4 linked regions of the Yarrowia lipolytica genome follow. The protein of the gene in region 3 purifies or fractionates together with the protein of the main gene of each other region. This does not show direct contact. Links are inferred from orthologs where the notes say so. Each region holds a gene or a part of one and is shown on either strand. Other genes may lie near its edges. The genes, in order: YALI1_D17899g, YALI1_D35575g, YALI1_E14644g and YALI1_D33229g.

Region 1 (7,636 bases), on a different chromosome or scaffold from region 3:
ACTAGACGACACCATGGACATCCGCGAGCTCCACTTGGCCCAATTCTCGCGCAAAAACATCACATTTTCTCCCGGAATTAGTTGCTCTACCGTTCTTCGTTTTGTTAATCAGCTCCCCTACAGTAAAATACATATCTACATACTGCATATCTACATACTCCATCTACATACTCCATCTACATACCCCATACCTACATACTCCATATACATACTCCATCTACATACCCCATATCTACATACTCCAGATCTCTCCAACATGTAGATCGAAGCGAACCGCACATCTCCAGTAGTCCTTCACCAACGTCACCTACACCGTCGCCAACATCCACTACATTTACCCCTCTCTACCCCTACCTTCCCAAACGGGAGCTGTCGCGTGAAGCTTGCCCATCACGCAGCGATTAGGTGAAGATAGACGGGACAATGAACGAGAACATGGAGACAGTGGACGGCGCGAAAAAGAACGAAAGAAGAGACACTTACGTAACCAGCTGTGGAGTTTTACGTGATCACCTCCTACTCCGACCCATCCCTCCCTTTCTCCCTTACATTTACTCCTATCAGTGCACTCACTGAGACACTCCAACAACTTTGGAATTTTTTCTTTTTTCTTTATATTGTATAATATATATATATATATATTTTTTTTCACTCTCTTGTTTTTTTTTCGCTCTCTTTTTTTTGCCCGCTGCTTATTCTATAGCCTTCAGACTTTTACCAGGTAGCAAACTGAAACAAAGTGGCACCTAAAACGGACAGCTGGGTCGTCTCCCGTGTCCCACGCGATAACACCTCGATAGGGTGGAATGTAAACAGAATCTCAGTGCAAGATTCCAGTATGGTACTCGTACGACTGCAGTATTATTAGCACTACGGGGGTCTACATCAGTACATCTACAGTCCCACCTACCTTGGGACACCACGACACTACGCTCGGAGCGGTGATAAGTGTGTCTCGTGTGTCTAGCACTATGATCATACAATACGTATCTAACACCCGTCACAAGCGGTTATAGGCCGTCGCGGTAGCTGGCGCCTTCGCTCATATCCTCATGTCCCCCTCTCTCTAACAGCACGAGCTGCTCTTCTTGTCCGAATCTCCAGGCTGGGGAGTCAGAGAAATGGTGGTGCCCTGCTGGGGCTTTCGGGAGTCCTCCAGGTTGGCGTGGACATTCTCGGCAGCAGAGACCCGGTGGTAGATTTCAGTGAGAATGTTTCGGAACGCCAGGGCAACGTCAGTGCCGTCCAGGGCTGAGGTCTCGATGAACAGCAGCTTGTTCTGGGAAGCAAACTGCTTGGCCTCCTCGGTGGGCACGGCCCGAAGGTGCTTAAGATCGCACTTGTTGCCGACCAGCATCAGCACAATGTTGGAGTCGGCGTGATCCTGCAGCTCCTGAAGCCACCTGCTGATGTTCTTGTACGACTGGGTCGAGGTCACGTCATAGAGCAGCAGCGCTCCCACGGCGCCTCGGTAGTAGGCCGAGGTGATGGCTCGGTATCGCTCCTGGCCGGCCGTGTCCCAGATCTGCGCCTTGATGATCTTGTTATCAATGTTGACGGTCCGGGTGGCAAACTCCACTCCGATAGTCGATTTGCTGTCCAGGTTGAACTCGTCTCGTGTGAACCGGCCGAGAATGTTGGTCTTTCCGACGCCGGAATCACCAATCATTACCACTGAGTTAATATGCGACCAAGTCGAATCACGGACCCTCTGCATTGCTTCGCGTCTTTTGTCTGACTTGCTGGCTCCGTCGTGTCTGCGTGTTTGTGTCTCCACCAGTCGTGTCGTGTCCACGGTGTCCGTCGCGTGTGCATGTGGGCAACCAGACGTCCCCCGGAGCTCCCTCTTCATCTGCCACCTCCTAGCCTTTCTCTAGCGCACTCACCCTTGAAAAGAAAATCGTACTCGTCACTCATGATGGTCTGTGTTGTGTGTGTTGGGTGTGATGTAATGTCTAATGTGTGGTGGTGACTTTCTAAGTTGCATCCTAATGGGTGGTCGTGTCATGTGGGAGAAGACAGACAGGGAGACCGACAGAGACCGGGTCTGGCGCGCCCAAGTCCAGAAACCCAGTAGACTAGACTTTTAAGGGTGGAACAGGTCTCTTATATAAGTTGCGGCCCACCACTCGCCCCATGTCGTGACACTCCCTCATCTCGTCTATATAAACGTCTGCCCTCCTTCCTAATTTTTTCCCGCTCTCTCAATCTCCCACCCTTTGTTACAACTCCACACGCCGTACATTTCAGCATGGCGTTTTTCAAGCATGGTCCCAGCTATCAAGTACAAGTACGCACAACTCAGCCCCGTTGTTACAGACAGATACATGTACAAGTAGTGCCCCGCAATGAGACTGACGTGACAGAGACCGTGTACAGAGACGACAACCTCCCGGAAAAAACTCAAACACACGTTGGCATTGGCCGCTGACTAATCACAAAATACCGCATCTCGACCTGGAGACGAAAAGTTAATTCATCTGGCCGTACAAGTTTTGGGCTGCCTGTACGTACTGGCGAAATTTGTATGTAAACAGGTCGGAATGTGTGTTGAGTTGGATTTGACGAGCCCTTGTTGCATCGCCAGCTTTTCTTCACGGCCCTCTAGCACAAACTATCTGTCGTTTTGCAGGTACCATGTTGAGTTGCTACTAGTTGAGATGAGGAGTCTGACATCTCCTTTTTCTTGTTTTTTCTTGTTTTCTTCTTTTCGGGCACCAAAAGATTCCTTTCGTCCAACGTGTCTACACCCAATTTGACACCAAATGGTGCGATCCGACGCGCAACTTGCAGTTATAGAGACTATGGAGTTCTTTTTTGGTCACGTGACAGAGTATCTCGTCCTCACCGCTCTTTGACTTCTTTAGTCTTGGGCTTGACCTGAGAATGCTTACACCTACAACTCACGCAATAACGAGTGGAATTGAAATCGGAAAGCTCCATCTTGTTGACCGTGACCGGTACAATAGCTCTATCTACTTGGTTTATTTTCAACGACAGGGTGTAGCCCGTTTGGAGTGTCCTTCAAAACGGTGCCCCTTCGTTCCGCACTGAACCGCGCAAGTCACCAGGGGGTTTATTCCAAGCGTTGTACAGGTAACTGGAGTTGGGCAATGCTTCAATAAACATGACAGAAAACCAACATCCGTCTATATAACCACCTCCCCGCGCTCTTAATGGCTACATCTTCTTTTCTCGTCGCAACACACGTTCGCCTACCACTACCCTAACCCCAGCATTAGCGTTATGAATCAAACTCACCACCATCACCGTGTATTCATTATACACGACATTGCACCATGGAGGTCAAAATCTCTGAATCTGCGTTCAACACACGCGTAGAAAAGCTGCAGGGGGCGCTGAACACGCACAAAGACGCGTTTGGCGGCGCCGACTCGGTTCTGCTGCTAATTGGCAAAGGTGGAGATGACAATCCCTACATCAAGACTGCCGTGGCCCAAAACTGGCTGCTGGGCTACGAGTTTTTCTCCACAGCTCTGCTGGTGACGCCCAAGCGGGTCATTTTCGTCACAAACTCGTCCAAGGCCGTCCATCTAGAGGGTCTCAAGAAGGACGACAAGGTGGAGGTGTGGGTGCGGCCCAAGGAGGGAGGTAAGGAGGTGATGGAGAAGCTGGCCAAGGTGGCCAAGGAGGCCGGCAACAAGCTTGGCGTCGTGGTCAAGGACAAGTTCCGAGGCCCCATTGTCGACGAGTTTGAAGCTGCCCTCAAGGACAGTGGGATCGAAAAGGTCGACATTGAGGTCGGGCTGTCCCACCTGCTGGAAGCCAAGGATGACGACGAAATCAAGAGCATCCGGGTGGCGTCGCGGGCCTCCACGGCCTACCTGACAAAGTTCTTCACCGACCAGATGCTTGGTATCGTCGACGAGGAGCGGCGGCTGTCGCACTCAAAGTTCTCGGAGCAGATTGAAAACAAGCTGCAGGACGAGGGCTTCTTTGCGCAGAACCAGGTCAAGCTGGGCAGCGACTTCCACCAGACCAACCTCGAGTGGTGCTACATGCCAATCATTCAATCCGGAGGCAAGTACGATCTGCGGCCCTCGGCTGTGTCTGACGACGCAAACCTCCACGGAGGCACGATTGTGTGTACCCTGGGTACCCGATACAAGGGCTATTGCTCTAACGTGGGTCGAACCTTTATGATCAACCCCACCAAGGCCCAGGAGCAGAACTACGAAGTGCTGGTGGGCCTGCGGGAAAAGGTGTTTGACTCCATCAAGGTCGGCGCCAAGGCCTGCGACGTCTACAACGCCGCCGTCTCCTACATCAAGTCCAAGGCCCCCAAGCTCGAGGCTCACCTGCTAAAAACCATAGGCTGGAGCATTGGCATTGACTTCCGAGACGCCAAGTTCCTGCTAAACGCCAAGTGCCAGCGAGAGATTGTCGACGGCTCCACGTTTGACGTGTCGCTGGGCTTCCAGAACCTGACCAACTCGGCCGCCACCGATCCCAAGAACAAGACATACTCGCTTGCTCTGGTCGACACTGTGCGTGTCACTCGAGCAGGCGTGGCTGTTCTGACCGATTCCGCGCCCGTGGCTCTGTCGGAAGTCACCTACTTCTTTGAGGATGACGACGAGGACGCCGAGAAGGAAAAGAAGAAGAAGGAGCAGGCCAAAAAAGAGAAAAAACAGCAACAGGCGGCTGCTACCGTGTCGTCCATCACCCGGACCAAGCTGCGTCATGAGGCTCGAGCCGAAGATAACAATGACCAGAAACGAAAGGACGACCAGAAAGCCCTGCACGAAAAGCTCAACAAGGCCGGCCTGGAACGGTTCAAGAACACAGAAGGTGCTCTTAACGGCGAGGAGAAGGTGGTCATCAAGAAGTTTGAGTCGTACAAGCGAGATACTCAGCTGCCCCAGAATCTGCTCAAGGATCTGCGGGTCCACGTGGACACCCGGTCGCAGTCCATCATTCTGCCCATCAACGGCCGGCCCGTGCCCTTCCACATCAACACGTACAAGTCTGGCTCGAAAACTGACGAGGGCGACTACGTGTACATCCGGCTCAACTTGTCGTCTCCGGGCCAGATTGCAGGCTCCAAGAAGGACGCGCCCCAGGTGTTTGAGGACCCTGACGCACAGTTCCTGCGGTCCATCACGTTCCGGTCGCGGCACGTGGAGCACATGAACGATGTTTTCAAGCAGATCCAGGACCTCAAGAAGGCATCGACCAAAAAGGAGGCCGAGAAGAAGGAGATGGAGGACGTGGTGGCCCAGGATTCGCTGGTGGAGGTGCGAGCTCGACGGCCGCTCAAGCTGGACGCTGTGTTTGTGCGTCCTGCACCGGACGGAAAGCGAGTTGCAGGCACTCTGGAGATCCACCAGAACGGTCTCCGATACGTCTCGCCCATCCGGTCCGACCACAAGATTGACGTGCTGTTTGACAACATTAAGCATCTATTTTTCCAGCCTACCGAGGGCGAGCTCATTGTGTGCATTCATGCGCATCTTAAAAACCCCATCCTGATCGGCAAAAAGAAGACGTGGGACGTGCAGTTTTATCGAGAGGCCAGCGACATGGCTTTTGACGAAACTGGAAACCGGAAGCGAAAGTACCGGTACGGAGATGAGGACGAGCTGGAGGCCGAGCAGGAGGAACGAAGACGACGGCTGCAGCTCGACAAGGAGTTCAAGGCCTTCTCTGAGAAGATTTCCGAGGCGTCTGACCGAAAGGTCGATGTCGATACTCCCTTCCGAGAGCTGGGATTCCACGGTGTTCCGTTCCGCTCCAACGTTCTGCTCCAGCCCTCTGCCGACTGTCTGGTCCAGCTCATTGATACGCCCTTTTCGGTCATTACTCTGGGCGAAATCGAGCTGGCGCATCTTGAGCGAGTCCAGTTTGGTCTCAAGAACTTCGATCTGGTGTTTGTCTATAAGGACTTCAACCGGCCCGTTACACACATCAACTCGATTCCGGTGGACCAGCTGGATGCCGTCAAGGACTGGCTCAACGAGGTTGAGATTCCGTACTCTGAGGGTCCCGTCAACCTTAACTGGGGATCCATTATGAAGACCGTTGTTGCCGACCCCCAGGAGTTTTTTACTTCCGGTGGATGGTCTTTCCTGGACCTGGAGTCGGACGACGAGGATCAAGAGGAGGAGGAGTCCGAGTTTGAGGTGTCTGACGACGAGCCCGAGGACGAGGATGAGGACTCGGAGGAGTTTGCCTCTGAAGACGATTCCGAGGGCGATTTTGACTCTGAGGAGGAGAGTGGCGAGGACTGGGATGAGTTGGAGAAGCAGGCAGCTGCTGAAGATGGTGAGCCTCCCCGAAAGAAGCGCTAAGCTGGGGGAATCTATGTATGTAATAATTGATGTATGATATGGTAGCTACTTGTACTATGGCGAAGGTTGGCGACTGTGGACTACTCGATGAGACATTCTGCGCTAATCTGATACTAAATTCGACTCTCAACATCTCAATTGCTGACACACTGACACAGGCAACTATCGCCATGTCTCGATGGTACTTTACTGAATTGAGGCAGGCGGTGCGCAATCTTTGGACGCCCCAGCCACACTACACCGAGTCGGAATACCCCGACCTCACCAGTAAGACTTTTGTCATTACGGGGGGACATTCGGGTGTGGGTCTGGCCGCCACCCAGCTGCTGATAGACAAGGGAGCCAAGGTGGTTCTTGTGGGCCGCAGCCGGGAGCAGGCCAAGCACGTGCTCGACGAGCTTCCCGAGGGCACCTACGACTTTGCCGAGGCTGATCTCGCCGACCTGTCCACCATCAGATCTGCCGGTGACTACATTGTCAACCAGTACCCTGAGATCCACGGCGTCATTCTCAACGCTGGAATCGCCTTCAAGCCGTACTCTCTGACGCCCCAGGGACACGAGTACCAGTGGGGGACCAACGTTGTGGGACATCACGCGCTGATGAAATGTCTGGACCCGGCGGTCATCAAAACTGCCCACAGCTCTGCCCCGGGCTCGGTGCGAATTGTGTGGGTGTCGTCGTCAGCGGTGATCATTTCCAACGTTCCAGGCGGCATCAACTTCGACGACATGAGCTACAAGGAGAGCCAGCCCAGTGCGTTGCAGCTGTATTCGCAATCCAAGATCGGAAACGCCTACCAGGCGTATCTGTGGTCCAAGAACCACCCCGATTCAGGCGTGGTGTCGGTCTCTGTGGACCCAGGCAACCTCAAGTCCAACATTGGAAGACATACCCCCAAAACCATGACCAGGGCTTTTGAGTATCTCCTGTACCCTTCCAAGTATGGAGCATACACGGAGCTGGCAGCATTGTTGGCCCCTGGAGTTGAAGATGGCGACCATCTCATTCCGTGGGGGCTCAAGGGACATTTGCGAAACGATGTGGATGAAGGCAGAAGAGGTGACAAGGGCGAAGAGCTGTGGAAGATATTGGAGGAAAATGTTAAACAAGTGGGTATGTAAGAAGTGAATTATTGTCAGTTGAGAAGATGCTTCTGGATAGCAGGTCTTCGCCGCTGCGCCCAACTCAGCAGAGACTCCTACCGGAAATACCGGGCCAAAGATCGGTAAAAAAGAAAGAGGACGACAGGACTCGAACCCGCAGCCTTTGGAGGACGTCGTTTGCACGAAACAAACCGAAATCCAATGCGCTACCATTACGCC
Region 2 (6,648 bases), on a different chromosome or scaffold from region 3:
CATGGCTCCACATGCACCTGCTGTTCATCTGCCTCAGCCCGTGATGGCCAAGAAGAAACGTCCAGCGGAGCCTTCGCCACCCGTGGACGTCAAGAAGAAGGCTGTGGAGCAAGACACTAACCAGACGCGGCTCAAGGAGCTACGTGACGAGCGTGTGTCCAAATCCAATGAGATTATGAGAGACGAGATGGTTGCTGAGATTGGCGAGCGGCCCATTAAGCCCGAGAGAGCTGGTGCGAACCCCTTCCTCATTTTCCAGAAGGACTTTTGGGACAAGTGTCGAGCCATCTGCGATAAGAAGAAACAAGAATCTTCTGGTGAGCCTACTATGCGAGCTGCTCGTAACGAGGTTCGTTCTGCTCTGGGTAAAATGTGGCGAGATCTGCCCGACTCGGAGAAGCAGCCATACATTGACCAGACGAACGAAATCAAGGCTCTCAACGCTAAGAAGACGGAGGAATACAGAATCCAGGCCAAGCGGTACGAAGAGGAGGCTGAACAGTTCAAGAGACGGTGGAAGGAGGAGCACGTCAGTGAACCGTCTCAGGAGGAGGTTGCATTGATGAAGTTGATAAAGGAGAGAAAGTAACGAGAGGTTACTGGGGGATAAAGTAAAATTTAGGATAATTGCATTAATATTAGAGAAAAAAGGTATTGCAAGATATTGGTGTTGTTTATAATGTCAAGTCCCAGGTCTCTGTACAAGTACGAGAAGAGGTTTCACATATCAACTAAACATATTCAGTTAAGGTTCCGATCACTGGATAGTGCTACAACCAAGGTACAGTGCGTACTTGTACATACCTGTGCCTAGACTCTACATCATGCTACCGACACTCACGACTAACGACTGGATCACTCTATTGCATTTTTTACGGACCGTTTTCGGTCCGGCCGATCCCCGCGGCACCAGTCTTGCACAGAAGCTCTTCTGGATCGGCAACTTCCTTACCTACGCGCCACCCATGGGAGGTTTGGGTCTTGGAGGACGAAAGATTGTGCTCAAGAAGTTTCAGCGGAGATAGAGAAGGGATGAAGGCGACTTACAACGAAGAACAGCGAGAAATAACGACACGAACTGTGTGGGGGCAGCTTCATGGATGGTGTGCGTCTTCTGTTATTGACATCTTATCTGAGCACACCAGCCACCATGCATACCCCAGATTATAGACTAATGACTTACGATTTGAGAAGATGGCAGAACGCCCATGTTCGGATATGCTGTGGATATGACACAGGTAGAGTATCGCATGCGTTGAGATTTATGAGTGGAGGACTAAAGTGGAGTATAACAGGTGGTGTCGTTTGCGCTGCGCTCTGTTGTTTTGTTTATGGCGGGAAGTTCGATGATGACTTGTTGATGCTATGTTCTGCTGTGCTGTTTTGTACGATACTTCACCCTTATCTTGTGCTACTACTCATACTCGCGAACTACTGTACATACTATCGTTATAACATCAATGTATTCTGCTTGGATAGCAGCTTAGTTTAAAAAAAGTGGACCTGGTGTGGACCGTCTATAATGTTAGCAAGATGTAGAGTGATGCAGGTGAACATCTTGCTGAGATGCATTGGGTTGGTTATCGGCACTTTACTCGTCATCATCCTCCACGTCCTCCTCCATGTCATCTTCATGGTCTCCTCCGTCACTCTCGTCTCCATCTTCACTGTCCGAGTCAAGGTCCTCAGCAACTTCACTCCATTCAATGTAGAGGTCTCCGAGAACACTTCTGGACCGTTTGAGAAGAAGAGGATCGAAGGGGAAGTAGCCCTCGAGTTGAGTAAACTCCTTCTGGGGACCATCAAACAGAGTGGCAGCTCCCTCCATGAAGGCACGGGGGGCCATGGTCTTATCCTTCTTATCATGCAGATCCTTTCGCACGATGCCTCGCTTGTTCTCGTCGATGATAGTAAAGCAGTAGGCTGCATCGTGGTGATGGGCAATCTTGGCGAACATGGCGACCACGGAATGGTTGCAGTATTGCAGAGGGTTGAACTTGGTCATGATGATTCGCTGGAAGAACTTGTCGAGCTTGCACTCCCAAACTGAGTCGCCCTCGGGAGCATCAGAGTCCAGTCGCAGCATCTCGTTTCTGAAACAAAAGATGTACATGAGACCTTGGACGACAGAGTAAAATGTCTTGAATCGCTCCATGGAGCCAGGCACGCCGTTGACTTCGGCTTCTCGTTCAGACACATATCTGTCGATCCAGCCGGTCAGCATGCTCACCACAAATACAATCTGGGCCTTGGAGAGATGTTTAGCCCGTGCAATGTAAGATGCAATGTATTGCATGGCCTTGGACCGCTTGTCCATGCCTTCTCCAGACGACAGAGTGATCTCGATGAGAGAAGCAAGAAAGGCGTCCATGAACTCAGGACATGCTTGCGACGCCTGGAAGACAATGTATTGCACAAAACGGGTTCTGTGCGTAGGCAGAAGATACGTCTTGAACACGTTGATGAGAGATGCATACATGGACACTGTTTCCGTGGTGATTTCCTCGGGGCCATCGTTGAACTTTCCTCCAACATGCATGAGAAGAAGAGACACGATTCCGTCGAGCTTGGCCAGGAGCTCTCCGACAGACGAGGCATCGTTGACTTCGATATGATCGTCATCGTCATCGTCGAGTTCATCATCTGAGTCTCCCAGAGCCAGTCCGTCGTTACCGTCTTCTTCTCCCTCTTTGATATCAGTGGCGTCATCAAGATCTACCACTTCGGGGTCCTCAGCGTCGAGAAGACCAGCGTCAAACAGCTCTTCTTCATCCATCTCGTCCAGTTCGTCTTGCAGTTCCACGTCAATCTGCACACTCTTTTCCACAACCATGCCCCACACTGCATTTCTTAGCGCAGGACAGTACTCGGTGGTGATGAGGGCGTTCCGAATGAAGTTGCACAGTCGCGCGGTGGTATCCATTTTATTGGGGAAGGCATCGAGCAGCATTCCTTGCAGCAGAGTAGCTGACGTGGGTGTAATGCTGATCATGTATCGCAGTGCTGAATGCTGGGCAGAGGCATCGTCTAGAGTGAAGTCGGCCACCAGTTGAGTCGCAACGTCGGACCACCATCGTGGCACGGCGGAGACGAGCACTGCGAGAAACCGGTAGTATGTGTCTGTAAGCGCCTGGGACGGCTGTCGTTTTTCGAGATGTAGACGCACCACGCCGTTGATGAGCTTGGAGCATCGTGGGGAGTCCAGCCGGCTGATTTCAATGGACAGCGCCTGGATCATGTGTGTGAGCTGGTCGTTGGACAGCGCGTCGGGCGAGTCGGCCTTTTTAGTAATCTGGTCGGTCAACTTGCCGAGTGGGCTGTAGTTTTGCTAGGTTAGAAAAAGAGAACATGAGAGGCGAAGACGACGGTTCGTAAGGGGGGATGTATAAATGGGAAAGACAGCATAACTCACCTTTTCAACTTCATCTAGGGCATTCTTAACGAACGCCTTGTAAACGCCTGCAGATAGGTCACCTGTTTCTGGACAAGTAGTCAGTTTGCCATCATCCTGAGGAAGCACTCCTCCCTCATCCCTTGGTTTCTTTAAAGCCATCACTTGGGGCGAATCCACCCTCTTTCTCTTCAACGAGAGCCCTCTCGACTCCAATGCTACTGGACTTTCCATCGTTTCTGTGTATCTCTTCTTTTTGTTCTTCTGTAGCGAAACGGTAGAAAGCGTTGAGATGAGCTTGAGATGGACTGAGTGGTGAGAATTATCAGAGCCTCCAAAGGTTAGCTACTGTACGCACAAACTTTTCAAAGCCTAATTCTGATTATGCAAGGTGGGCAGAATTCCATAAAATGATGCACAGGCGTTGTGACGGCCAGAGAGGGGTGACAAAGTGTTCAGTATTGTCAATATATTATTTTCATTGAATTTATCCCACAAAAACTCCTCTCTATCTCTATATTTTCGTAGATTGCGGGTCCTTTATGGCCCTCACGTGCAACAAAAATGACCTCGAAGCTTAACTTTTCGAGGAATTTTTTTGCCACAGTCCTGAGACATGCACGAGGGAGGACCTTGGAGTTGGAGCAGGTAATTGAGAGGTTGCTTAGTAACGGGTTTTGAGTTTAGGATATTCCGATTTGGGACATGCGATGTGTCGTACTTGCAGAAATGGCCAGTAAATGTCTGACTGAGGACCGCCCGCAGAAGGAGTAGTCCGAAATAAGCTAATAGGATAGTTTATACACATGGGTCGTTTCAGTGTTGGTTACGTAAACAAGTCTGGATTTCTGAGTTCGCCACCGTCTCAGTACAAAGTTCTGGGTGAACTCTTCATCGCCCCCTTCGTGCTCTTCAGCTTACATCATCGAACCCAAATCCGGACCGTTAAGTGCCAGCAGACCCTAGCCCTACAAGGTGGGGAAGCTTACATTTGCAGGGGTGGTGGTGTCTGGTTATTGACGGTCTTGGGCAGGAGACAGCAAGCAAGTTTCAGATAGACAGAGAGGCTTGCAAGACATCCACATTACATGTCCAAAAACAGTCTTTATGATGTGAAATAGTCTCTATCGGCATGGTACGTACAAGTACGTACTGCGCCCATATTATGTATGTATTTGTGTTGTTACACGCACTACCCACTGTGGCCAAGAGCATTTAGGCCCAGCCGGCTATACTTGAACATCGAACTACTAAGGTGCCAAAAACAAGCCGAGGTAGAACTGTGATTGGAGAGCTGTTAGTGACATAATCTACCCTTGCACATCTCCGATGACTAAAAAATTCGGTTATTTGCCCAATATTACATCTACATCTGGCATGAGAAGCTGTTGTGGCCTCACTCTCACCTCAGTTGTGCACCCCCCCTCGTATTTTCGCTTGAGTCGTTTTCCCGAGCCTCGGAGACAAGGTTCCACACACACAGGCCGCCCCATTTAGGCCAAGTAACGGTGATGAATTTTGTATAATTGTTGGGCCCAGGGCTGGTGATTTTGAACCATGATTCCAGCCATGTTTGTTTGCTTTTCAGGCTGTATTTCTGTGTGCTAGTCGGCACTTTTCATCCACTCCCCACGTGATCACATCGATTGGAACAGCAAACCCCTCCTTGTACTTGCTGCATATCTGTATGTATACCGAACTCTGTGAAGGTGCCCAACAGATCATCACCACACAACCACACGATGCAGTACGTTGGGCGAGCCATTGGAACCGTTTCCAAGACCTGGAACTCCATCAACCCTGCAACACTCAGTGGTGCAATTGACATCATTGTGGTCGAGCGGGAAGACGGTGAGTATGGCCATCAAGAGGCTGTTGGAGAAGTGGAGCTGATGCAGTGACCGACGGTGACTTACAGGATGCAAGTTGAGAGGGTGATAGAGAAGTGGACTTTGGGAACAGAGAGTGGGTGCAAGTGGCCTTACAGTTGTTACTTCTAGCTGGCAGTTACACCACTCTTGTAACTATCATGGTCCGTATGATGTGACCACATGTTGTACACCATGACTGTAATCGTGCCCAGGTGGCAACAGTATGATTCACAGTTGTTATGTCATATGGACAAAGTTGTAAGAGGCCAATACAACTGGAGCAACCAGCTTGTTTCGGGTTTCCTGTCAACTACTTCCCACTCACTCGAAACACTCAACACATGAACACAACGTGGTGGCGTAACACCTCATCCCCATAACCACCATATCCACACACTAACCCAGGTGAACTAAACTGCTCTCCTTTCCATGTGCGGTTTGGAATCTTTTCCCTGCTGCGACCGTCCCAGAAAAAGGTCGAGTTCTGTGTCAATGGCACCAAGACCGAGCTGCCCATGAAGGTGGGCGATGGAGGAGAAGTCTTCTTTGTGTTCGAGACCGACGCAGACGTGCCCGAAGAGCTCCTGACATCCCCCGTCATTTCTCCCTCTTCGTCGCCATCCTGGGGCCAGGAGGAAGGCGGGGATGGTGAGCCGGACTACCTTGCTCTGAACGACTCTAAACAGGGTGGCGACAGCAAGCACGGCAGATCGCCCTCGGAGGGCCCACCATTCAGATCACCTTCGGCGGATCACTTACATGAGATGGGCAGCTTCGATGATGAGAATGACCCTGAGGTGAACAGAAGACAACGTGCGAGCACGGCAGCTCCAGAGCCTGTTCCTGGTTCGTTGAAACACCCAGCCACTATCTCGGAAGGCATCTCTTCGGCCTCGTTTTCCAACAGCGATACTGATCGAACAGACACTTCTGGACCCACAGAGACAGAACCCACAGAGCTCACAGAGCCTACAGAGCCCACAGAGCCCACAGAGCCCACAGAGCCTCTGGATCTTGAGCAGAGTCTCCACCGGGCTGCCACTTCTCCCGCCCCTTCGTCCGAGGAGATTTGGGAGAAGGCCCGTGCACTGTCCAAGAAACTCACATCAGAAAACATTCAGAGTAAAATCTCCGACAACGGAGACATTATTCTGGATATGACTGGTTACAAGTACGACCACGAGGACGTGAGTCGATCAGAGGAGCTGGTCAAGAAAATCCTCGCTGAGGAACTGGGAGAAGACAGAGACCTGTCCCACATCCTGGTTGAAGACGAGGAGGGTAACCTTGTGATTCAGAGCGCTGGAGACAGCCACCATCACGAGCATATGAGCTCGCCCGAGTCTCTGGCCCACTCCCCTCAGCCCCTCCCTTCTTCTAACCTTC
Region 3 (8,634 bases):
TTAATTCCTCGGCCCTCACCAAGCTGCTCCACGGTCAGGGACAAGGGTCGTCGGTGGACAACCTCCCAGAAAGTTTGGTGAGCATCCTCCTGAACGAAGCCCTTGGGAGACTGCTCCAGAGAAGCCTTTCGGTCGGCGTTGAATCGGGCGCCGGTCCAGCCAAACAGACCGCAGGCAGCTCCGCAAAGCACCGTCCAGCCGATAAATGCGGGGACTAGCTTAGTTCTGGCTCCAAGTACGGCACCGGTGGCAGCACCGGCCCACATGTGGTTCCAGCCGTCCTTTCGCTCTCGCAGGTTGGCAGCAGAGCAGTAAGTGAACACGTAGGCGATAGACGCGCCGGTGAAGATGGTGACGACTCCTCCAGACTTAGAGAAGGTGGTCAGGATGTTTCGGGGGCCTGTGGCTAAACTGTTTCGCGCGGCGGCGGCAACGACACCAGCACCAAGACCAACCATGGCGCTCTGGGTGGCCAGTCCCAGGGTGTTGTAGGGGTGAAAGTGGCCAGCAGAGCTGGTGTTGAATGTCGGCGAGGGAAGGTGAACGTGTTCAGACACTGGGTTAGTATGAAAATGGATAAGTAGTTAAAGATCACGAACAACCCTACAAGCAGGACCCATTGGAGGGTGAGAAGGTGAGCATATGTATCAAAGACATGTGAACTGTTTGTATACGCACATCTAGAACAGGTCATGAAAGGTGTCTGATGCACATGAATCAGGTGTTTCGGAGAAGTGAGCAAGACAAGTGGAGAAACGAATGAGCTACAGTGATAAACAGCAAGAAATAGCTCTCTCCATATGCAACAACAATCAAAAACAACAACAGCCCATCAATTATGCCAAAGTTGCATGTCTCCGTAGTTATTGTAGTCTTTCCCTTGCATTCTCACATTGATCAGTAAAACAAATGTTGTGTTTAAACAACTTGGGCACTCTGACACCAACCGATAATCGATCATTAACACCTTCCACAATCCACCATTCACTTCGTCTTTGCCGTTCCGACCCATCTCCCATGGTTCGTGATGCTCCATGACAACATAACTCCTCCGCCGTCATGTATCGATCACGAGTCGTTTCTTCCCGTTACATCATGTCGTGTATCGTCGCTTCATCTTAGCACCACATCCACTTCGTTTCCCGTAACGCTTTCATCCTTCTCAATACTCACTCTTTTGTCGTTCCGTGCTTGATCACTGTTCAGAAATTCCAGTAGTATGTGCAGATATTGACCCACGGTGATTGGCCCTCCCAACTCGGGGTTAGGGCACGATAGGTTGGGACCACACAAACCTCCGAACTTTAACTGGTGACCAGCTGAAAACGTGAGGGAGGATGACCGTAGACTGGGTCAATGGGAGAGTCTGTATTGTAATGGAAACCAAAAATATCCCGCTTCTGATTTTATTGGTAATAGAGCACATTTGGCTGTAAAAAGCACCACTTTGGTTGTATGTCAACTAATTCTGTGTGTTCATAGTTACGATACTTCGTTGTGAAGTCTACCTAATTAGCTAGGACAATCCTGCACGGTACGTACAAGTACAAGCGAGTACGGTATGATAATTTGTTGTACTCGTGCTCGTGCTGTACTGCATTAGCCAATACCCCATGAACCCAGACAAATACCTCTACAAGTACTAGTACACGCACAATTATTCATACCAAACTACAATACAACAGTCATAATCAATAAGTCCATTAGTATACATAAATATCTCCTCCACATTAACCGAAAATTGCAGCCATATCCACAAAGGCTCGTCCAGAGTCCTTGAGATACTTGTCCACCACCTGGCGAGGGTACACGAACCGCTCCCGGTTCTGACCAGCCAGAACAGCCAGCTTCATATCCTTATCATTTTCCTGAGCTGCTTTGTCCATGTTGAACAGAGTGTCGAAGTACAACAGTTGTCGGTACAGGTCCTGATCGTTGTACTCATAGTCCAGAGTGCCCCGATTGCAAGTGTTGAAGCGGCCATCGGAACCCATGCATCGCTTTCCAAAGTTGGTCAGCTGGGCGGTTCGAATACCACAGGCGGAATCTGAACACGTGTACCAAGTCTCGTAGTACTTGGAAATGTGTCGTCGAATTGATGTCTCCAACTGGGCACACAGCCGTGTGAGAGGGAACATTGTGGAGCAAGAGGGACAGATAATACCGTGCTCGGTGGTGTTCTGCTTGACTCCCTCGTAGGCAAAAGAGTGGCCACACTCACAAGTCAGCTCCAGCTTAACCGCATCCTTGAACCGCTCAGCATCGGAGATGGTAGACTCCAGCGGATGGAGCAGCTCTCGGGACTCGTGAGACTGGTGGGCCTTCTTGATCTCGATGCCAAGCACCTCTCCAAGTCGGACAGGATCAGTACCGGTCACATGAGCGAGGAGTCGCTCGATCTGAGGGTACAGCTGTTTGGAAATGTAGTACTCGGCATCCGGCTGAAGCTTGCCTCGAGAAAGCTTGACATCCATAGTGGTCTGGGCCTTGGCAGACTCGTCGGAGCCCACAGTGGTGATGACAAACGACATAACGTCGCCCTCTCGAATCACCTCTCCTCGCTCCAAACGTCGAAGAGCCACAGCCACAAAGGGCTGGATGGGAGGGTTGTAGGCCTTAGGGTCCTTTCCGAGCTGCTTGAGAATCGCATAGTGCTCCACGGGGAAAGGAGCTGACTCGTCCTTGACGGGCCCAGATCGTAGCTTCTCAGCCAGCTCAAAAAGGTATTCGTGGACATTGTTCAGCGCAGTCTCCTGGTCGTCGGGACCCAGAACTTGCTCCAACACATAGGTACAAGCGTCCTTGGAAATCTGGCACGTCTCTCGTCGTCTCAGATCCAGACCCTTGACCTCAATCTTGCCCATGCCCTCCTCAGTAGCCAGACGAGCAGCGTACTTCTTCTTGTTGGTGAGCAGAAGACGAGCAAAAACACCGTCGATATCAATCTCAAGCTGCTTGTAAAGACCGTTGACCTTCTTCTTGAAGTCGTTACCAACCTTGATGGCGTCCTTGTAGGTGTCTGTGTTGGTGTTGATCATGACAGAATCAGTGTCACCGTAGACAACCTGCAGGGACTCGGCCTCGGCAAGCTCCTTGGTGGCTCGAAGAGTGTCTCGACCGATGGAGGTGGTGAGGTTGGCCAGAGGCTTGGCGTAGAAACGAGAGCCCTCAAAACCCAGACAACCGTACATGGAGTTGGCAGTCAGCTTGAGCGCCATCTGCTTCACGTCCCACTGCTTCTTCTGGGCAGCAGACGCCTTGGGGTCCTTGATGAGTCGCTTGACCTCCCGTCTTCGCTGCACAAGAGTCCTAATGAGTCGAGGGAGAATGCCCTGCTCCACGGAGGGTTCGGGCTGAGCAGGAGGCTCAATCTGGTCGTCGGGGATAGACGCCCAGTCCACAGTCGAGAAGCAAATGTTGTACTCCTGAATAATGGAAGGGTACAGTGAGTTGAAGTCCATGACGAGCACGTGGCGGTCGTACAGGCCCTTAACGGGGTCCAGAACCAGACCTCCCTGGAATTTGGCCTTGCCTCGCTTGTTGGTGCCTCGACCGGCTTCCTTGTCGGGAATAATGTAGCCCTGACGAGTGAACTCGTGCAAGAGAATGGACTCGTTTCGGCCAGATCGGGTACCAGCCAGAGTCTTGTTCCAGGCGTTTCCGGCCAGGTTGGTGAGCTGCTTGGACAGAGGAATGGCCTGGGTCTGGATCACAATGCCGGCAACAAGGCCCGTGTCCTGGATGCAGTGCATGAGATAGCTAAGCAAAGGCCGGGCAGAGCTGACCATCTTGCTATGAGCAGCATCTAGCTCAATGTCCATCCGCTTGATGCCCAGAGTGTTGAGCGACATTTCAGTCAGATCAAACGACTGACATCCTTGCACCACAGACCGACCGTAAGAGTTGTCCATATCGAGAATAAGCCGGCCGTCAAGAACTCCGTAGTTCATGTGGGGCCATTGTGTTCGTCGAAGTCGGCCCATGGAAGACCAGTCCTTGACATTGAGTTCCTTGAGTCGGTGCAGCAGAACATCCAGATGCAGAGCTTCCAGACGATGGCCGCAGATGAGATCGGGGTCAACACGCGCAATAAGCCGCACCATATGGCTCAAAATGTCCAGTTCAGAATTGCATGGAATGATCTTGTCCACAGCAGTGCCAGCATTGTGTTCCTGCAGAATCTGCTTGAAGCCAACAGGTGCAACCTTACTGGGGTACCGGAAGAAGGTCATAGATCGGTGCTGCAGCTCGCCGAGCTTGGATGTGGTATCGTGAGGCATGTCCTGGAACATTCGGAGAGTCACGGCAACCACAGACTGAGACTTGCCCTCGGTCATGGTTCGCACAGCCAGAGAGATCATCGAAATTGGAGGCATGGGAGCTTCCTGGTTGGAACAGACAGAAATCTTGGCCGACGACTTAGCGGTGATCTCGATTCCAGTGTGCGAAATACGTCCCTGACCAGCCGAGGCGAAGTCAGGCTCATCAATCTGCATCCAGCATGGACCCATGACCTGATGAGAGAGCACAAACTGCTCAAACAGCGACTGATTGGCTCCAAACACGTGGGAGAAGGTAGCTCCAGAAGAAGGAACGTCGAACTTCTCCTTGGGAGGGGAGTACAGCACCTCCAGGTACTCGGCCTCGGCAGGGACACCAGGCAGATGGAAACAGTACTTTTTAGTGACAGGCTTGGCTCGCATTCGAATACCTCGGGCCTCCATAATTCCATCGAGCTCCTCGTGCACGTCAGAAGTGCTATACTCGTTTTTGGGCAGCACAAACATCTGTCGTTGGGTGCTTGCAACCTTGATGAGACACGATACAAACTGGCCCTTGTTCTTGCCGGTCAGCACCATGGTCTTTCCAAACAGATAGAGTGTGTCTCGCACAATGGCGTGTTCCATCCAGAAGAACTTGAACTTGCCGTCCTCGGTGGTCACCTCGTTGGGCTCCACAGAGATCTTGGCAGTATCAGCAGATCCAGCCTTTGAAGTCGCAAGCTGGATGTTACTGGTGATATCGGGAACCAGTTCGGGCTCTTCGATGTCCTCCTTTACCAGCTCCTTCTTGACTGGCTCCGTCTTGACAATCTCCTTCTTGACTGCAACCACCGGCTTCTGGCCGCGCATGTTGACTGCAGCTGCAGCCTGGCCGGCCTTGGGTCGAACCACAACCTCGTCCTCATCGTCGTCTGACTCCGATTGAGGCACTTTGTCAGGAATGTCGGGCTCGCCCATATCAATGTCCATGTCATCAGCAAAATCCATGCCGTCAGCAATGGCCTCTTCTCTGACAGCATGCACAATCTCCGCGGGGGGAGAAGACGAAACGTGCTCCGGACTGGCCATGTCGTAGCTGTAGTCCATGTCCACAAACACGTCTTCCTCCTCCTTGGCCCGGGCGGATCGCGACTTGCGGTTCATGGGTTTCTTCTTGTCGGCGCTTTTGGGCCCGGAGCCGCCAATCACGCCAATCAAGTCGTCCATGAAGTCGTCTGCCACTGCTGACGCCGCCGTCTCCGTCTTGACAGGCTTGGACGCCAGCGCCTTGAAGTTGAGCTTGCGGTTCTTGATCACGTCGCTGTTTTTCTTGGCCCGCTTGCTCTTGGGCGAGCCGTCCTCGTCGCTGGAGCCGTACCGCTTGCCCGTATCCTCCCACTCGTACGCGCCCGTGTCTGCGTACCCCTCTCCGTTATCTCCCACCACAAAGTCGTCCTGGAGCAGCTCTTGTTTTCGGTGCTGCTTGAACTCGGTTTCGTCGAGCTCGTCGTACACGTCTTCGGCGTTGAAGGTGAGTTCTCGCTTCTCACCGGCTCGAGCCGCCTTGAGGGCCGCCAGAGCGTTTCGTCGCGACATGCTGTGTAATGTGTCTAGTGTGTAATGTGTTAAGAGTAAAAGACGGGTCTCAATTTGATAACCCAAAAGAGCCTAATTGAGACGCATCAAGGTGAAAAAACGCGTTACCAGCCCCGACGCGTGTTAGAGTTCGGGGTTGGGGGTGCAGTCGGAGACTGAGCCCTTTGATAAAGGGTGAACAAGGTGAGCAATTGAGAAGACAAAGACACAAACGGCTTAGAAATCAGCAAACATACTTGTGTTTGAATTTTCATTATTCCACAGAGTTGCCGCCGTCGCATATTGGGCTTACTTCTTTTTGGCCCCCTCTCGAAAAGGTGCATGACCAGGTTGCAAATTAAGCTGCAAATTGTTTTTGAAAAAGTCTAATACGCGTGGTAGGAGACACATCGCATCCAAATGCACACACTGTACTGTGTAGAAGTGCTGGTGGGTGCTGTACCGTGCCATGTGCCGTGGGCGGGGTGGCATTGTTGTGGGATTTGGGATGATATTGATTCTTTTTTCGCTCTCAGTTTTTTTCTTCTCATTTTGAAGCCCCTACCTGAAACCGTGTCGAAGAGGTGATTGCTCACCTCCTACGTCGTGTGAACTTTGCTTGTTGCCAACGGAGCCGTTCCTAGGCCGTGACAGTCTCTGGTGGTGGTTTACTTGTAATTACAGGCTTTACATGCTCTTGAAGACCATCTATTGATCACTGTAAAATCAAATAAAATAAAAAAACATTTATGGTAGTACTGGCATGGTCGTGATAGTTCTACTACGTAGTGTACATAGTGATCTGACTACAGTGCCGACTCTCAAACACCACCTGTCACTGTATCACAGTATGTACCTGTCGCTACAGTAATCACTACTTTTAAAAAAGTTCCTGTTCAATAACATCAATTGTGGTCAAAATACCTACTCGCCCAAAGGCTGAACAGTGCCCTGGAGAAGCTGAGCCACCTTGAGCAGCAGAGGCTCCTCAAACCGAGGGCCGATAATCTGAACTCCAATGGGAGCATTGTCGAACTTCTCCGGCTCGTACATGCCCAGGAACTTCTTGTCCATGTCATTGGCAGGCTCAGGAGTAGGACCGTAGTCCTTCTTGGCGTCCATCTTGGTTAGAGGAAGAGTCACTCCCGGGTAGTCCACCACGTTCCACAGCATGGTGTACAATCCATAATTGGGTGTTCGGATCACAGACGAGGGCGAAATGTATACCGGATAAATCACCGCATCGATCCCCTGCTTCTTCCAGTCCTCCCACACGGTCTGTCTATACTTGTCTCGCTTGGTGTTGAGGGCAAAGACATCGCTAATTTCCAGCTTCTTGGCCAGAGCCTTGACCTCCGGGCCAGGGTCATCCAAGGGCTCTCCAAACTTCTCGGACCACTTTTTGATTCGCTCTCCAGCGTCGGGCATGAACATTCCAATGAGCATGTGGATAATATCTTCAGGAATGACAGGGGTGTACTTCTTGAAAGTGATTTCCACTCCGTCCACAGTCTTTCCATCGTACTTCTTGACCAGCTCTTCAATTGCATGTACAATAGGGGGATGAGGATGGGCCACCCCGTCAAAGGTGGTGTATCCCAGAGTCAGCTTCTTGGGCTGGATGGAAGACACAATCTCCCAAGGCACAGCCTCCAAGGAAACATCGTCCTTCCACGGCTTTTGCTTGATGATATTCTCCATGAACAAATCAATCAGACGCAGGTCTCGAGACATGGGACCTACAACGGCCTTGATGAAGTCGTTTCCTGGGTTGGACCCCACACAATTGAGCATCGAAAGACGTCCCCTGGTGGGCTTGAGACCGTAGATTCCACAGAAAGAAGAAGGAGCTCGAATGGAGCCTCCAATGTCGGTTCCCAGACCAATGATACTCGCTCCAAAGGCCGCCAGAGCTCCTTCTCCGGAAGAAGAGCCTCCAGTGGTCAGAGAAGTATTATAAGGGTTGAGAGTGGAACCGTGGACAGGAGAGTAACTGTCGAGAGAATTACAGAGCTGCGGGCCGTTTGTTCGCACAAATATGGTACCCCCCTGGCTCTCCAGCTGCTGGATCAGCACCAGATCCTTTTCCATGGGCTCCGAGTCCAGAAAGAAGGAGTTTTCACAGGTGGAGATATGTCCCTTGACGCCCAGCAGCTCTTTGACGGAGAAAGGCAAGCCGTGGAAGGGTCCAACGGGCCCCTTTTGGGCCAGATGTTCATCGAGGAACTTGGCTCGGTTGTAGGCCCGCTCTGCAAGGAATTCGGTCGCGCAGTTGACCAGCTTGTGGGCCAACACGGCAGCTCGAATGTACGCACCCGTGACTCGAACGGCAGACCATTCGCCCTTGGCCAGTTTATCGAGCAGTTCGATTCCTCCTAGCGTCACAACCTCGTAGTCTTCGTCATGGAGCAGCTTGAGCAGTGGTCTGACGTTGGAAGGGATAGTATCGGGCAGGGGTTTGTGGCTTCCGGGGAAATACTTGTCCACCTCCTCAATTGACTTTTGCAGACGGTTGTTGTAGATGTCCTTTGCGTCCTGGAAGGTCATGCTGGTGATATTGCGATACTCAGAATCAGCCCACCGAGACCCCTCTTATCTTATATAGCCTCTGCCAAGTACACGGCATCGATGCACGTCGTATAGAATCCCCAGAGTTTACCAGAGTTCACTTGTCAGACAGCTTCGCCGCTTTATATTCATCGCAGAAAGAGCGCAGATGTGGACTGGTACCAGTACATGGAGATTTAAGTCAAAGTCAAGAGATGTCGGATAGTTGTGCCACGGACTTAACTTGCCG
Region 4 (6,125 bases), on a different chromosome or scaffold from region 3:
GTAGGAAACTGGGAAACTGCTGATTGGTAAGCGAATGTCATTCTTCTTATAGAAGATATTTACTAAGTCACTTCCAGGAACCACAAGCAGCATAATCAGTGACTACCAGTGGGCACTAACAATGCGTCCTAGTCTCGAAAGTCGAAAATGATCACGGAGGAGAAAGATCAAACGGGAAACATGAATTAACATCACATGAATCACTCTACCAATCAGATCATGTCCCTCAGATCTAGAGCTCCTAAAGTCCTCGGTTAAAACCACCCCAGAAAGGAACCATAGTGTACGACGACAGAGCTGAAGCCAGACATGATCAAGTGGAATGAAAACTGTATCGAAAAGTGTTATAAACCGAATCTATCTACACCTCTTTGTAGCTTGTTATACAACTACAATTTCTTCTGCTATTGCGTAACTTCAAGTGTAGCTATGGGACTTGCGGAGCATTTATTAAGGACTCCAACCAACGGTTCTATTCAGTAGTTCCACTGTACCACCGCGTCTATACTCAACCGGACAAATCGCTGCCAGAGTTCCACCTGCCTGACACAGAAGAAGGGAACTTTGTATCTGGGGAACGTCATGACACTTGCATCTACTGTATACTAGACACCAGATTGATTGGACTTGATTAGGTAATCAGACGTGCTATGGTCACGAGCCAACGATTTCCAAGGTCAAAGTACTGCTCACAAGTACTTGTAACTACTGAGGCGCCACTCGCAAAGCCGATGGAATATAATTGTGCATATTAGAGGTACAACTATACGAATACGAATACGAGTACGAATACGAATACGAGCATGATTATTGATGGTGACGTCATGATAATTGTTCTTCAAAGCACTCCAAAAATCCCACGAGTAACCACTTAATCGTCAGAAATGAAAAACGATCATTATTTGCGCTTTCTCTAACCATTGGATCGCATTCTGACCCGTTTCGGTCTCTTCTTAACAATGCGTATTACCCCGTCTAAATTGAGGACATATACTCTAGACCTCAGAGAACATTCCAGGGACAGAAATTTATCCAAAGGCTCAGATAGACTGGTCACGTGACACATCAAGACGATTGATTCTTCATAAATCGACATTTACTAGTACAAGAACTTCAATGTCCTATACAGTTCCGACAGACCTCCCCGTGCGTGCCATCACAGGGCAGTTACTCAATGTGCAACTCTGAGCATTCTAAATAGCTGGAAGTACCCGAGATTCCACTGTTTCCGATTTCAGGGTGTTCGCCTCCCGAGATACAGGGTCTGGTGATGTGTTTCAGTGTCGTGAGAGGTCTCTCAGACGATAGATGTGTGGACTCTGTTTGGCTGACGGATTTGTTAACAGATTTTGTTGACATTTGTTGAAAGGAATTCCCGCTGTGGGTCACTTCTCGGTGTCACGGGACCAATGAAATCGCAAGACTTGTGTGAATTGGTTTAAAAGCATCAACTAATCAACTAATATTCATCTTCAAGATATTGGCAGTACAGATATTTGAGATATCCACATTTCAACGCGAAATACGAGTGCTGATTTTGTTGACTTTGGAGTGGGCCTCAAGTAATAGTTACTTCAGAGCTCCAGAAATGCACAGTACACTAACAATGGTCCAATTCAAACAAAATATCTGTCACTCAAGACTCCAGAGCAGCTCAGATAATACATTCTTACCAACTGAATGTGTCCCATTCAAATACATCCACCTAATCAACATTAATTCATATATCTACCAGTAGCAAATTCCTTGTGAGACTTTTGCACTCTTGAATCTGTCTCGAATCAGATACGAGTTTGCTTCGTCCGGAGCTGCTATTGTTACCCAACAAGCAATTTCCCGCGACGCGCGAAGCCGCGCCGGAATCACTCGTCATCCTCCTCTCCCGAACTGCTCTCGGCATTCGAGTCAAACTCCTCCGCCACCTCACTATCACTCTCGGCATGAAAGTCCTCATCAGGACTCTCGTCATCCTCATCAGCCGAGCCTCGAAACTCTCCTCCATCATCAGAGTCATCGTCCACCTCAGCCAGAGTGGCAGCCAGCAGCGCCTTCTCCTCAGCAAGATCATTCTTAAGACGAATGCCCTTGGACTTGATGAACGCCTCGAGACCCTCCTGCTCTTCCTTGGAGATGTTGGAGAACTGGTACTCACCCTGGGCGTTTCGCAGCTTGAGAGTCATGTCAAACGTTCGAGAGGTGGTTACCGAAGAACCCACTCGAGACAGAGTGATATCTTGAATCTCGGCAAAGGGAATGAAAACGGGCTTGGAAAGAAACAGGAAATTTCGTTCCAGGGGGTATAGATGGCCCTCAGACGCCTTGAGCGAACAGGAGACACCAGCATGGCCATGCACGGTCTTGAACGAGCCTGGCACGGTCAGTTTTCGGCCAGTGAGACCGCGGAAAATAGATCCAACCACCTGGTGAGCAGACTCGTCGTACGACTGCTTGAGACCCTTGTCGGCGTACTTTTCGGCAAACTCGGCGTCGTCGACATTGAGCTCGACTTTGATTTCGGCCTCACGCAGGAATTGCATCACCAGAAACGGGTACCGAGTCTGGCCCTGTCTGAGAGGAGGATCCAGCTGCACCACGAGAATGTTGTGCAGATCGTCGGGCTTGGGCAGCACAATGAGCCGCTGCACGTGCTTGTACTGCACCATGTAATCGTATGTTTTTCCTCGAAGTCGCATGAAGTTGGCGTACATGTCGATATCGTATCGTCCTCGGGGGATGACCAGGTAGATCTCCGACAAAGACACCACAGCCGTACCTGCCACGGCTCCAATGTCGGCCTTTTCCTTGAGGGTGTCGTAGAAGATCTGGGCGGTGGACTGGACCTCCTCTTCTGATTCGTCGTCGGCGTCGGCGTCGTCGTCTCCTTCCTTGCCTTCTTCTCCCTCCTTCTTCTCCGTCTTCTGCTTCTTCTTGGGGTTCTCATCACCTTCCACAGAAGTTACTCCGGGCACGTAGAATCGCATTTCGACGAGCTCGTCGCCTGCCCGTCCATCGGCGGGCTGCTGGAACTCCAGAGCAACCTCATTTTTGCCCACCAGGTTGGAGTTGGCCACTTCGGCGTAGGGGATCTCGAATGCGGGCTTGTTGGCGACGGAAAAAACCAGCTCGGATCGCTCAAAGTCCGTCTTGCCCCAGTTCCAACCCTTGACGCTGTGCTCGCGCTGCTCCACTGAAATGCCATAGTTGCGCTTCATCACGTTCTTCAGCTCCTCCAGGTTGTCCTGTTCAAACCCGTCAAAGTTGGCGGCCCCGCGGTTTTTCGTCTGGATCTTCATCTCGAATCCCCGAGAGCCCCGACTCCAAAACGCCGCCAGCAGCTCCTCCTTTCCAAGTAGAAACGGCTCGTCCTTCTTGGTCTCCTTCGATCCGCCCATTGACGTCTTCTGCACTGCCTTCCAGCCCAGGCCCGTCTCAACCATCCGCAGACGGCCGTGCGCCTTGCTCTGATTGAGATAGATGCCGTCGAATTCAGTCGTAGACATCGTGTTTTTTTTTGCGTACTGTGCTGTAAATGTGTGAACGATGACGATGGCGCTTCGACGTGCCGGTAATGTATGTATGGTGATTTGGACTCTGCCAGAAAGTTAAACGCGTGGTCACGTGACCTAAGAAGAGGAGGGAGGAGGATGGGGGAGAGGACAAGAGAAGCGGGGTATCGCTGTAGCCCCGAGGGTCCACCAAATTCCAAGTTTGGAGGCGGATTGAGGGGTAATAGGCGTTAGGGAGTCACGTGAAAGTATCATTTTGACGATATCTCCGCCCCAAGCCATTCTACACTGGGTCCTCATTATTGTTACTTCCATCTACACTCCTTGCTAGTTATGTACTAAATATGCACTTAATGAAAAACCCTAACCCTGAATATCCCAACCTCCCCAAGTGAAGCAGGGAAGTGGAAGCGTCAATTGGTTCACCAGACGCAAACTAGCGACGCAAACAGTGAGTGTGACAAGGCGAGGAGGGGAGAGGAGGGGAGAAGGGGAAAGGAGGGGAGAAGGGGAGAAGACGAGGAGATGTGATATAGAAGTCACGCAGAAGGAACGGTATCTCTGTGTATTGAGAGAGAGTGAACTGAAGTCAAGATGAAAAGACAGACTGAATACGACTGATGACGTGTGACTGAGTAAGTGTGAATGAGTATGTGTACATCTCTAAGTTGAGTACGTGTGCATTATCAACAGTTGCTTTCCACTTGCACATCTGGGCCGATTAATCGACTCTGACATGGCTGTACCGTGGTAGGGCATCAGAACAGACAGAACAGACAGAACAGACAGAACTTAACTTGAGCCACGTATCTCGTGGGCAGAATTCAGACTCAGTTTGATCCTGATGTTCCTCTTCTGCTGTTCCTCTTCTGCTGGCTGCCTCACTATTCTGAACTGCTCCGGTCTGTCCAAAGCTCCATAGTCGAGATGGACCTGATTCTACTAGACTGACGGGAAACTGGAAAGGACCATATAGCTGGAGCTGGCAGAATGGGCCATTCCGTCGTTAACGAAGCGTAACCGGACCAAATCTGGAACAGTCCTCCAGTATTCCACCCCTCAGTGCTCATTTCCGTACTAACGCAGTGTCCCTCTACCAGCGGTGGATGCAGATCCCCCCATCGCAACGAATCATCGCTGCGGCTTTTACTGGCATCTTGGCCTACGGCGGTATGAAGATCACCGACTATTTCAACGAGCAGGGCGACATTGAGCGGGAGGCCCAGGCTCTGGTGCTCAAGGAGCATCAGAAGATCAACCAGGCTGTTGCTAACGACCTCCGGAAGGATGAGTAACAGACCGGGAGCTTGTCACTATAGCAGCGGTACCTTCCAAAATCGCATTGTATATAGGAATTTATTGTTTTTTTTGAGTGCCAAAGCCTCTGAGCATTCGTTTCCAGTCGTAATTCATTAATATATATATCTTTGACAGTGGCGGGTGGAATTCACCGCGGAAACCCGCATCAGTTACATGAACCGCCCAAGGAAGGTACCTCTGGCAGCTCTAGACAAGAGACCGCCGCTGACCTGGCCAACAATGTTATTGGCCTTGCCAAACTTGTCACATCGAGAGTAGGCCATGGCGTTAGTGACGGTCAGAGACACAGCAATAAAGACCAGAATCAGAGACAGAAACTGGAACTTGAGCAGCGCCAGAACCGCCAAACACACCCACAAGACAGGGGCGCCATACAGCATCATCCAAAAGACCTTGGAGTCAATGGGATTTATGTACCGCTGGGGATCGGCCGTCTCGAACACCCACACGGACTCGCCCGTCTCCGACGCCTCGTTCCACCATCTCAGGCCCACCATGAGCCGTCCGGCAATGTTTTTGACGTTCCAAAAGTCGGCTGCCAGAAGCAGAACAACCAACACAAACATGAGCACAAACTTGTCTGTAAACAGCAGACCAAACATGTAGGTGAAGAGCGCTCCTAGTCGGAAGGCTAGAAAAAAGACGAGAGCCACCGGATGAGAAGATTCGGACAGACGTTGCCAGAGCGTCATTCCAACTCCAGCTTGGGGCGCCGCATTCCGCTCCAAATCCGGCTGTACGGTTGCCGCCGCAACCGGAGGCGCCGCATGTGACGGCGCTCGGCCTCCTGTTAATGGCACATCGGCCTCAATTGTATCGGACATGGTAGTGTAGTGGTGAGATAAAGTAAGTGGTGATGTGTTGGGCATTAAGGTGAGGGATTAGGGTTAGGGTAGGACAAGTGGAAGATGGGTGGGTATTTGAATGGACTAGATGGCATGATGATGGGGATAAAAGGAAGGAAGAGTTGGTAGATGGGTTTGGGGAACGTAGATAATGACACAGTCCAAGAATTGGCCCTTTAGGAGGTCTGAGCGTGGAGTTAGATGAAGCTGTCCTCGGGTGGCGTGCTGAAGTATGAAGCTAACAGAATTGTCAACCGAAGGGGAGGGATTTAGTTGACATTGGGATGTTGGTTTACGTGGAGATTTGAGGTGGTTGTAGAGGTGATTTAAGGAGATAGAAGGTGAGTGCCGGTACTTTTGGAAGCAGTAGATAGTACAATATTCAGCTAGTAGTGAATTGAAAGTGCCCTGAGAGATGTCCAAAGTCTGACGATGATTTAATTAGCATTTTAGT

The links.
Region 1: the proteins of YALI1_E14644g (region 3) and YALI1_D17899g purify together in Saccharomyces cerevisiae (affinity purification with western blotting; 4 studies listed by BioGRID, with this or other methods). This does not show direct contact. The link is inferred for Yarrowia lipolytica from reciprocal best matches to the Saccharomyces cerevisiae genes POL1 and SPT16.
Region 2: the proteins of YALI1_E14644g (region 3) and YALI1_D35575g purify together in Saccharomyces cerevisiae (affinity purification with western blotting; 3 studies listed by BioGRID, with this or other methods). This does not show direct contact. The link is inferred for Yarrowia lipolytica from reciprocal best matches to the Saccharomyces cerevisiae genes POL1 and RRN3.
Region 4: the proteins of YALI1_E14644g (region 3) and YALI1_D33229g purify together in Saccharomyces cerevisiae (affinity purification with western blotting; 4 studies listed by BioGRID, with this or other methods). This does not show direct contact. The link is inferred for Yarrowia lipolytica from reciprocal best matches to the Saccharomyces cerevisiae genes POL1 and POB3.

Annotation. Positions count from the first base shown.
Region 1 is NC_090773.1:1,786,650-1,794,285, forward strand, and holds YALI1_D17899g (uncharacterized protein), read left to right. Parts: upstream 1-3,299; coding exon 3,300-6,311; downstream 6,312-7,636. Other genes in the region: YALI1_D17885g (uncharacterized protein), read right to left, coding at 1,067-1,852; YALI1_D17895g (uncharacterized protein), read left to right, coding at 2,887-3,019, 3,065-3,177; YALI1_D17930g (uncharacterized protein), read left to right, coding at 6,341-7,435. UniProt on the Saccharomyces cerevisiae protein: Component of the FACT complex, a general chromatin factor that acts to reorganize nucleosomes. The FACT complex is involved in multiple processes that require DNA as a template such as mRNA elongation, DNA replication and DNA repair.
Region 2 is NC_090773.1:3,554,136-3,560,783, forward strand, and holds YALI1_D35575g (uncharacterized protein), read right to left. Parts: upstream 3,626-6,648; coding exon 3,413-3,625; intron 3,329-3,412; coding exon 1,592-3,328; downstream 1-1,591. Other genes in the region: YALI1_D35509g (uncharacterized protein), read left to right, coding at 1-589; YALI1_D35593g (uncharacterized protein), read left to right, coding at 5,134-5,242, 5,668-6,648. UniProt on the Saccharomyces cerevisiae protein: Required for efficient transcription initiation by RNA polymerase I. Interacts with Pol I in the absence of template DNA and stimulates recruitment of Pol I, but does not remain as part of stable preinitiation complex.
Region 3 is NC_090774.1:1,461,625-1,470,258, reverse strand, and holds YALI1_E14644g (uncharacterized protein), read right to left. Parts: upstream 5,859-8,634; coding exon 1,731-5,858; downstream 1-1,730. Other genes in the region: YALI1_E14698g (uncharacterized protein), read right to left, coding at 1-458; YALI1_E14619g (uncharacterized protein), read right to left, coding at 6,762-8,384. UniProt on the Saccharomyces cerevisiae protein: Catalytic component of DNA polymerase alpha, which in complex with DNA primase (DNA polymerase alpha:primase) constitutes a replicative polymerase. POL1 has a role in promoting telomere replication during interaction with CDC13.
Region 4 is NC_090773.1:3,320,254-3,326,378, reverse strand, and holds YALI1_D33229g (uncharacterized protein), read right to left. Parts: upstream 3,501-6,125; coding exon 1,863-3,500; downstream 1-1,862. Other genes in the region: YALI1_D33207g (uncharacterized protein), read right to left, coding at 4,976-5,695. UniProt on the Saccharomyces cerevisiae protein: Component of the FACT complex, a general chromatin factor that acts to reorganize nucleosomes. The FACT complex is involved in multiple processes that require DNA as a template such as mRNA elongation, DNA replication and DNA repair.